2 linked regions of the Nothobranchius furzeri genome follow. Each later gene encodes a partner of the first gene's protein in a complex. Links are inferred from orthologs where the notes say so. Each region holds a gene or a part of one and is shown in the gene's direction. Other genes may lie near its edges.

The links.
Region 2: the proteins of zdhhc9 (region 1) and golga7 are in contact, whole or in part, in a cryo-EM structure (PDB 8HF3), measured with the Homo sapiens proteins. The link is inferred for Nothobranchius furzeri from reciprocal best matches to the Homo sapiens genes ZDHHC9 and GOLGA7. Residues at the interface, in NP_001008223.1 of Homo sapiens: Phe78, Ala81, Arg85, Ile94, Pro95, Leu98, Asp100, Glu101, Phe104, Ile105, Phe129, Gln130, Ile131, Asn132, Ile146, Pro149, Pro150, Arg182, Tyr183, Leu186, Tyr274, Lys281, Cys284, Glu285, Leu287, Cys288, Gly289, Pro290, Leu291, Pro292; in NP_001002296.1 of Homo sapiens: Lys11, Phe13, Gln15, Tyr18, Ser19, Ser20, Gly21, Thr22, Ala57, Glu58, Leu60, Ser64, Tyr65, Gly68, Cys72, Ala75, Tyr76, Thr77, Phe79, Leu80, Tyr86, Glu87, Leu90, Ile116, Arg118, Gly119, Arg121, Val122.

Annotation. Positions count from the first base shown.
Region 1 is NC_091741.1:85,582,278-85,586,721, reverse strand, and holds the start of zdhhc9 (palmitoyltransferase ZDHHC9), read left to right. Parts: upstream 1-1,536; 5' UTR 1,537-1,675; coding exon 1,676-1,839; intron 1,840-4,444. UniProt on the Homo sapiens protein: Palmitoyltransferase that catalyzes the addition of palmitate onto various protein substrates, such as ADRB2, GSDMD, HRAS, NRAS and CGAS. The ZDHHC9-GOLGA7 complex is a palmitoyltransferase specific for HRAS and NRAS.
Region 2 is NC_091743.1:54,616,933-54,621,083, reverse strand, and holds golga7 (golgin subfamily A member 7), read left to right. Parts: upstream 1-1,559; 5' UTR 1,560-1,656; coding exon 1,657-1,665; intron 1,666-2,031; coding exon 2,032-2,154; intron 2,155-2,225; coding exon 2,226-2,378; intron 2,379-2,482; coding exon 2,483-2,584; intron 2,585-3,373; coding exon 3,374-3,421; 3' UTR 3,422-3,536; downstream 3,537-4,151. Other genes in the region: rplp0 (large ribosomal subunit protein uL10), read left to right, coding at 7-153, 282-467, 546-686, 868-1,020. UniProt on the Homo sapiens protein: May be involved in protein transport from Golgi to cell surface. The ZDHHC9-GOLGA7 complex is a palmitoyltransferase specific for HRAS and NRAS.

The DNA of each region.
Region 1 (4,444 bases):
CAAATTTCCAGAAAACCAGATATCCTCCCACTCCAATCAGAAGAAATCCAGTGATCATCAGGCCAAATATCCACAAATCTTCCACGTCCTCGGTGGACAACTGAGAGAGGCACACGATTCGCCAGACCTCCCAAGAATCGAGTGCATATCCCGCTGCGAATGTCCCCTCGGGACAGGTGGGAGCCCCCTTCTCCATTCTCATCGTAGAAAAAATCTTATCAATCGCGTTGAATGACCAGTTAATTAAGTCCATATTTCCAAAAAAAAGAGTAGTGATTTCAGGAGAAATGCAGAGAAGCGCTCTGTAGGCAGACAGGACAGAGAGCCTTGGGGAAGCAGATAAGGGAGCTATTGAATATATAATATCTTAGATATTCATATATGATAGAAGTTTCATTGTTAACTTGTTTGAGCTTTTCTCAGAATCTAACAAAGCTGATAGCATTCAGCGTTAATAATTGTATGTAGTTAACCATGCTACACAAATAAATGTTATAGCTAAATATTTGTATTGTTTAAAGGAGTGTAAAGTCAAATCTAAAGATTAAAAACTCAGTGAAGCTCAACAGCCACAAGCCAAACCCAAACAGCTGTACAATATAGAATAATAAAGTAGCCTACCAAAATAAAACTGAGGTGAAGAGATCCCTTGTCTTATCTTAAATTTAAACTCATTTATGTGTAACTTTATGTTTAGATTTTATTCCAAATAATTTTTAATTTAATTCTTTGCTATTATTTTTGTAACATTCATGCATGGAATTACCATTTCTTAGGGTTACCGTTAGATAAATATGGTGGGAAAATGACTTCAAACTCCTCACCCCATTTTTATTGTTAGGAGGAGCTTAAATCGACCCTCATATCAATAATAATAATAATAATAATAATAATACTAATAATAATAATAATAATAATAATAATAGTGTCTATTGAACGTATTTAGGGGTTATCTTATTATTTTTTTTTTATTATTCCCTAGCTCTTCTTTGGAGGGAGGATTTTTAATCCTAATGTGAGCTGAGTCGTCCTTTGTTCCTGTTCCACCTGTGCTGCGCCTTTAAGATTAGACATCTCTATCTAGGCGTGTTTCCTGCTGCCATTTGACTCAAAGCCAGAGCTGGGATCCTGCGGAAGAAAACGCGCATGAGATCACATTCCCGTCCTACAGCTGGGCCAATATTCCTCTTTTATTTAGATGTTTTTATTTCTTCAGCTTCCAGCTGTCTGACTAGCGTGTAATCTGCGCGCAGCAGCTCGCTCATTTATTTCTGATTAATCCAAGATGATATGTATGTCAGGCGGTCAAGGTCCGAGCTGCTGCTGAGAGTCTATGCAACAACCCACGGGTGGATTTTCCTGCTTCTGCGGGGAAACATCTGTCGCAATCGTTTCGGGTGGATCTTCTAATCGTTTGCGTCTCTGACCAGAGAGATTAAAGACTGTCTGTTTGAGGAGAGGAAGAGGAGGCTCGCGCGCTGCAGTAAATACGGCAAATAATGGATTAGACAAGAAAAACGATGCGACTGCGACGCTTTTATTTTCCAAAAACACTTAAATGCGTCCCGGCTGCTTCTTTGTGAGAAGCCACGGAACATGACTGAAGTTTGACAGATTCTTATAGTGGTTTTGAAAGCATCAGCCCAAAGCAGCGAGGATCTGAAACCAGGGCAGCATGTCGGCGGTGATGATAACGAGGAAGGTGCGAAAATGGGAGAAGCTCCCGGGGAAGAACACTTTCTGCTGCGATGGACGGGTGATGATGGCCCGGCAGAAGGGGGTCTTCTACCTGACCATGTTCCTCATCGTAGGAACCTGCTCGCTCTTCTTCGCCTTTGAGTAAGTACACGCCTCTTCATCATCATCGTCATCATCACCGTGTTCATTTCTGCCTCCGAATGGCTCAAAGGTCACCTGATGATGAACCCTCTCACAATTCCAATCCGTGTGGCTCCGTGCGTAACAGGATCCATCTCTGCCCTGTAGCTGCTGATCGATCATCCACAGAAATTCAACCTGTTTCCAGTAATAACATCATCTAGAATAAATCACTTACATGCACTTAACTATTTCAGCCGTTTAGACTCTGGGCACTTGACTTTCAGCAATGACAAAGGAGACTTTTGAAGATCAAATCCAAATCTGGAAAATAAAGTTACCAGATGCAAGGAGCTTTGGCCAAACTATCAAGACTAAATTCATTATTTTTTTTAGAACACAAATCTTATATAAACTGAGTTTCAATCTGACTAAAACAACAAAATTAGTATTTTACATAACATCTTAGAAAACTCATGGGCCATGCAGCCTCAAATCCATGTTGTGATATTTCAAGAAAATTTGCAGTGACATACTTTTGTTGATATAGCAGAAAATATCTAATATTTTCTCTGCGTTGCATTATTCCTAACCAGAACATTTTCCAAAGTGTTGACCCCTGCACTTTTTACCGTCCAAAAACAATATTACGCTTTATTAAATTGACACTGGTTGAGCTCTAGGACCAAGCGGAAAACAACCGTTTGCCAGATGCTCGCGCACGCTTACACACACACACACACACACACACACACAGGCCCTTTTCATCTATTTGGTCCATATGTTAATGGTCTCCTGCTTTTCTATGAGCCAGGATAGAAGGAGGTCGAGTCCGGACGGGAACGAAAGAGCTGATGCTGCTCGCAGAGGAGCTCTGAGGAGGCACTGGGATAATGACTCGGGGGTCGATAGGCTGCCGTGTTCATATTACAGTGGAACATAATTACCTCCTGTGGGTGGGTGGGGGTGAAATGGAGATAAGACTGAAACAACATGGGGATGAATCAAACTCACCATTATGTAAGTAGATGGTTAGACTAGAACTTAAATCATTATCTGGTTTATTTTCAGTGCCTCCCACCAAAGAACATCCATGTTAATGCATTAAAACTGTCCTAAGTCTATGATGAGTTTCAAAAGGGATTATTTTATCTGAACAACACGGTAAACCCGTTTATATTCAGTTTATTACCAGAAAAGCCTGTAAAATCAGTTTACCTATTCTGTTTCTAAGAGTCAGACATATAAAGTGTGTGACTGAGTTTCAACATCATTAAATCACAACTCAAGCTCCTTTTAATCTTAGAAAAAACATAGTGCAAATGTTAGATAAAAGTATTCATATAATGCTGAAATATGAGTATCAATAGAACGTTTAACTGAATTTGTTTTTTTCTTAGTCATGCTGCTTGAAATGTTGCATTAAAGGAGACAAGGTTGGGTCAGCCCAGTTTGGGCTTGCTTTTAGCACCCCCTAGTGTTCATTTGTAGAACCCAAAGCAAAACCTATCTACTTGCTGTGCGTTTGCCTTTTCAACATCCTAATCTAAAACCTTAATCTAACATCTGAATAGTCTCCCAGCCTTCATTACTGTCTACAGGAGTGGCTGAACGAGGCAGTTCGCTATTGAAGAAGGTGAAAATACATCCTTTTTCTAAATAAAGGACTTAATACATTATCAGTTCCTGATTCTAATAAAGCCCAAAAATAAGTCCAAAAAAGCCTTGGACCATGGTGACAGAAAAGTTTGTAAATGAAGTTGAAGCAAATCCAAAATCCAACAAAACACATTCTGGGCTAAAATTGAGTAAAAACTGTTGTTTTATGAGAGCATACTGTGTTGCCCTGATCTAAAACTCTGATCCACATTCGATATAAAATGACTTTTCTCACATATAGACTCGAGCTGTGTGCTACACCGCCGCATCCCTGGGCAAATGGGGAATGCTGTGTCCTACCACCAGCTGGCTCTGGTCCGACACCATCCCAGCACACGTCTTCCTTTTATGTCCAGTCATCGGCAGCCCATGCACGGTGAATTCACTGTGCTTTAAATCATTCTAAATAGCTGATTTGACACACAAAAGGAAGGAGTCATTGGAAAGATGTAAACAGATTAGTCTGAAGAGGTGTGCCCTGCCTCTCTGTGGGTTTTGCAGCATTCTGGGATGCACTGATCCTTTTATCCTTCAGCTGAACTGAGTCTTTCATGCTGTGAAACATGCTGTCTGAGCTACAAAGGGCTCTGGTACCTTTAATGGCCTCCTTGCTGTCAAAAACTCATAGGATTTCTTCTGAAATGCATATGTTCAGTACATGTGTGTATTTGTGAATGTTGATGGCCTCCCACAGAGTCTAGAAACCGGAACACAAGGACAGTTGGTCATCTGTCCACTGCAGGACAACCAAGCTGCAAAGGGAGAGCATATGTTTGGGTAATGGGGCTGCGTTTTGTCCCATGTACTCAGATTTTATTGTGCGTGTTTTAAGTGAGCGATTCATGTGCAGGGCAGCCCCTGCAGAGCGAGTGGCTGCAGTCAGAGATCTTTACAGACCTATCACCATCCGACCCCACCCTGTCTCCCTGTTAGCCAGTCATAAAGCAGCATTCAGCTGAGAGTAAAT
Region 2 (4,151 bases), on another chromosome or scaffold:
CCTCAGGTACCTGCAGCTGCTCGTGCTGGAGCCATCGCCCCTTGTGATGTGACGGTGCCAGCTCAGAATACTGGCCTAGGTCCTGAGAAGACCTCGTTCTTCCAGGCTCTTGGTATCACCACCAAAATCTCAAGAGGAACCATTGAAATTTTGGTGAGTTTAGACAGCTGTTCTAGTTTTTAATTTTAGATGGAAAATTGGAAATCGATACCATGCATTTTTAAAAATCTTCAAAAGTGTGGCAAAGTGCACCCAGTAACTGCTGCTTTTGGTTTTTTTAGAGTGATGTCGGCTTGATCAAAACCGGTGACAAAGTTGGTGCCAGCGAGGCAACTCTGCTCAACATGTTGAACATCTCACCCTTCTCCTTTGGACTCATCATTCAGCAAGTGTATGATAATGGCAGTGTTTACAGCCCTGAGGTGCTTGACATCACAGAGGCTTCTTTGCACACCAGGTTCTTGGAGGTGAGGCACAAGGTCTATTAACATTTTAATGTTCAGGGACATTATATGTCTAAATTGCACTTTTCTTAACTTGTCCAGGGTGTGAGGAACATTGCTAGTGTGTGTCTGGAGATTGGCTATCCCACTTTGGCCTCTGTCCCCCACTCGGTCATCAATGGCTACAAGAGAGTCCTGGCTGTCGCTGTGGAAACGGATTACTCCTTCCCCCTGGCGGACAAGGTGTTTGACTCATTCTGCTTTAAATTGTTTTTGGTTAACTTGTAAACCTGTTGGTGTAGCATGCATCGTGCTGCACGGCTGATCCTTATGCAAAAGGCATGTTAAATTCACGTCTGTTAGGAGTGCTTATTTTTGACTAATAGCATAACTAGAAATTAACACTTTGATATGTCCTCCGCAGGTCAAAGCCTTCCTGGCTGACCCATCTGCTTTTGCTGCTGTCGCAGCACCTGTAGCAGCTGCAGCAGTCTCTACAGCTTCAGCTCCTAAGGAGGAGGTGAAGGAGGAGTCTGAGGAATCAGATGATGACATGGGCTTTGGTCTGTTCGACTAAACCTGTGAACAGTGAATGAGTCAAAGATCTTGATTCAATAAACTTTAATAAAACACATTCCTTGTGTAAGTTTTTGAATATTTTAGGAGATAAACATTTATAAAAGAAACAAGATACTATGGCTTCCATGTAATGGTCTCAGATTAGCTGGGAAAGGAGGATGGGTCTGTAACAAACCAGATGATGCATCAGAGTGACGTTAAACATCAAGAACATTGAAACTTCCGGTTTGGGTGTGTCAACCTTCAAAATAAATTGATTACTTGATAAAAGTTCTGTAGAAATCGAAATCTCGGAATTGAATGATCTACAGTATTTAAAGGGAGGCTTGTGTAATGAGAAATATTATTTTATATATAGTTTTCCATCTGACCAAACAATGTTAACTTGATTTTATTTTTTTACCAGAAGAAATCTCAATGAGGTTAAATGTCAGTTGATCAAAACGTTTAAAGAGAAAAAATATCTATTGCATTCTACTCCGTGACAAAGTGAAAGGAATAAGAATATGTTTAAAATATAATTCCATTTTAAAGCATGCGTGTCCAACATTGACCTTTTATTGTGAAAAGCATGAACCGGAAGTGGAACTGGTGTGGTTACAGATGAACAGCAGCTTTAAGAGAATCCTTCGCTATGGCTGAGGTTAGTTTTCATGGTTTATTCCTTTTAAAAATAAATGTTTACTGCAGAAGCGGTTATTTTTATAGTTTTAAGGTTAATCTGTGAATTATTTTGAGTGCAAACTCTTATTTTGTTACCAGTATCGAGCTGCCAACAGTCACGAAAGCCTACGTGTTTTTGGCTAACAATATCCCAAACAAATCCCAGTATCTTGTTAAATTTTGTAATCAATGTCTCTTTTAGCGTAACCTTATGTGGTTCTTAACTAAACAGTTTGCTGTAAGACGGTATTTTACACACTGCCTATCTGCTTTAATCGATCTAGTGTGTGGAACCAAAAGGTGGCGTACGTCAGAGTTTGTGTTAGCTAGTTTGGTTTTTGTTCAGACCCACAGCTTACAGGACCTCCAGCAGCCAGCTGTCTCCTCTAAGGTGTATGTTCAAAGGGACTACAGCTCCGGAACCATATGCAAGTTTCAGACCAAGTTCCCCTCCGAACTTGAGTCCAGGGTAAGTAGCATTTACCTGTTTGTTGACACGAGTACGTTAGGGTTGTGTTTAACCTGCTGGCTCGGTTTCAGCTGGATAAGCAGCAGTTTGATGAGACCATCCAGACTCTGAACAACCTGTATGCGGAGGCAGAGAAACTCGGGGGGAAGTCCTACCTCGAAGGCTGCCTGGCCTGTGTCACGGCCTACACCATCTTCCTCTGTATGGAGACACACTATGAAAAGGTAAACCTGACTCAGTGGGATGACCTCTGTGGCACTGTTTATATCAGTGTTCTGTGTAGAGGCTGACATTATTATGTTCTGTGCTGTTTCCTGTCCATGAAAAGGTGTTGAAGAAGATTGCCAGATACATAAAGGACCAGAACGAGAAGATCTATGCTCCCAGGGGCTTGTTGCTGACAGACCCCATTGAGAGAGGCCTTAGAGTCGTATCCTGAACTTTGCTCATTTTATGATTTTTTTTAAAAGACCATTTAGGGTAGCTAAAATCACATAATCAGGAGTACATGTATATTGTTCTCCCTCATTTACTTAAGATTCCCAACACATTTTTTGTGGCTGAAATAACTAGAGGTTTGTTGACTCAAAGTAGGGAAGAATTGGTTCACTTTTTCATGTTAAACCTCATAAACGTAACTAGAATATTTTCACACTGCTTCACTTTGACATGGAACACTGCTTGTGTTGTTCTTCGACTAAGAAAATGGGCTTTACACAGAAAACAATCATCCAATGCCAAAGTAAACCAGTGTTAAATAATCAATTCAAATTTTCATAATTTATCAAGGTTTTAAGTTATGAAATTTACCCTTAATTTGCTGCTTTCAAGTAACCGGTTGCTTAATTTGCTGGATAATATAGAAAATCCTCAAAATACCCTTCTTCAAACTAAAGACCCAAAAAGAATCAGTTGTTAAATGAATAATCGAGATGTACAGATGTGAACAGAAGTTCAGCGGGATTATGTTTGATCAATATGTCACGCCATTGTTAAAATTATTATCTTGGGGCAGCAGTAGCACAGGAGGTAGAGAGGGTTGTCCAGTAATCGGAAAGCTGCAAGTTTGAATCCCGACTCCCGCCAGAGAATTACGCCGTTGTTGTTGAATGATACATTGTCGTATTATTAAAATGATGGTTGCAGTTATTTTTAGTGGTAAAATGCTCTTTTATGTTGATTTTGAATTGTGGATTTTTCCTTAACTTACCATTTTCAGGTCGAAGTTACCATCTTTGAAGACAGAAGCATTGGCTCTGGAAGATAAAGAAACTTCCAAATCCATTTCTAATAAGAGTCAGCTTCACTTGGAAAAATGTTGTTGGAGCTGTAAAAACAACACGTCAGCGATTCTGTAGAAAAAATAAAATAAAATTCCAGGATTCCAACAGCTCCCTTCAAAGAAAGAAACAAGAAGCCCACTATGAAGGCTTGTTGTTTTTTTGTCCGCGAGAGTAATCTCAGAGAAGTCATGTGAATTTTTCAAAATGATTAAGACCTCCACAACAGTTAGCACAAACACTTTAGTTCATATCCTCCAGCATAATTCTTCTCTCTACCTCGGCTTACTGTTTAGGCTGTTGGTTGACCAGATTCACTTTCATGAGCAGACACACTCGTGAACTTTCTGTAAATTTTTCATGTAATCATCATTTTCCCTGTTATTTATTAGGACTCTGCTTGTTTGTGTTTCTGTGTTTTCTTGTCTTTTTTTTTTTTTTTTACACATCCGTTGCCTGTATTGTGACCCCAGTTTATCCAAATCAGTCTTAATCAACCGTGCCATTGTGTTGCCTCTTTTTAAATCACTGTAATTCCAAATGTTTTGTTGTATGTGCTGTTTTCAAAATGTAAAAATGCCATATTTTATACTGATCCAGATTAGGTGTGATTATTGGCAGCACATGGCATTCGTTGTATTGCATAGTCCTATATTGTGTTAACATGTAGGTCAGGTTATAGCAGTGGTGTCCAGTCTTGGTCCTTGTGGGCCACCA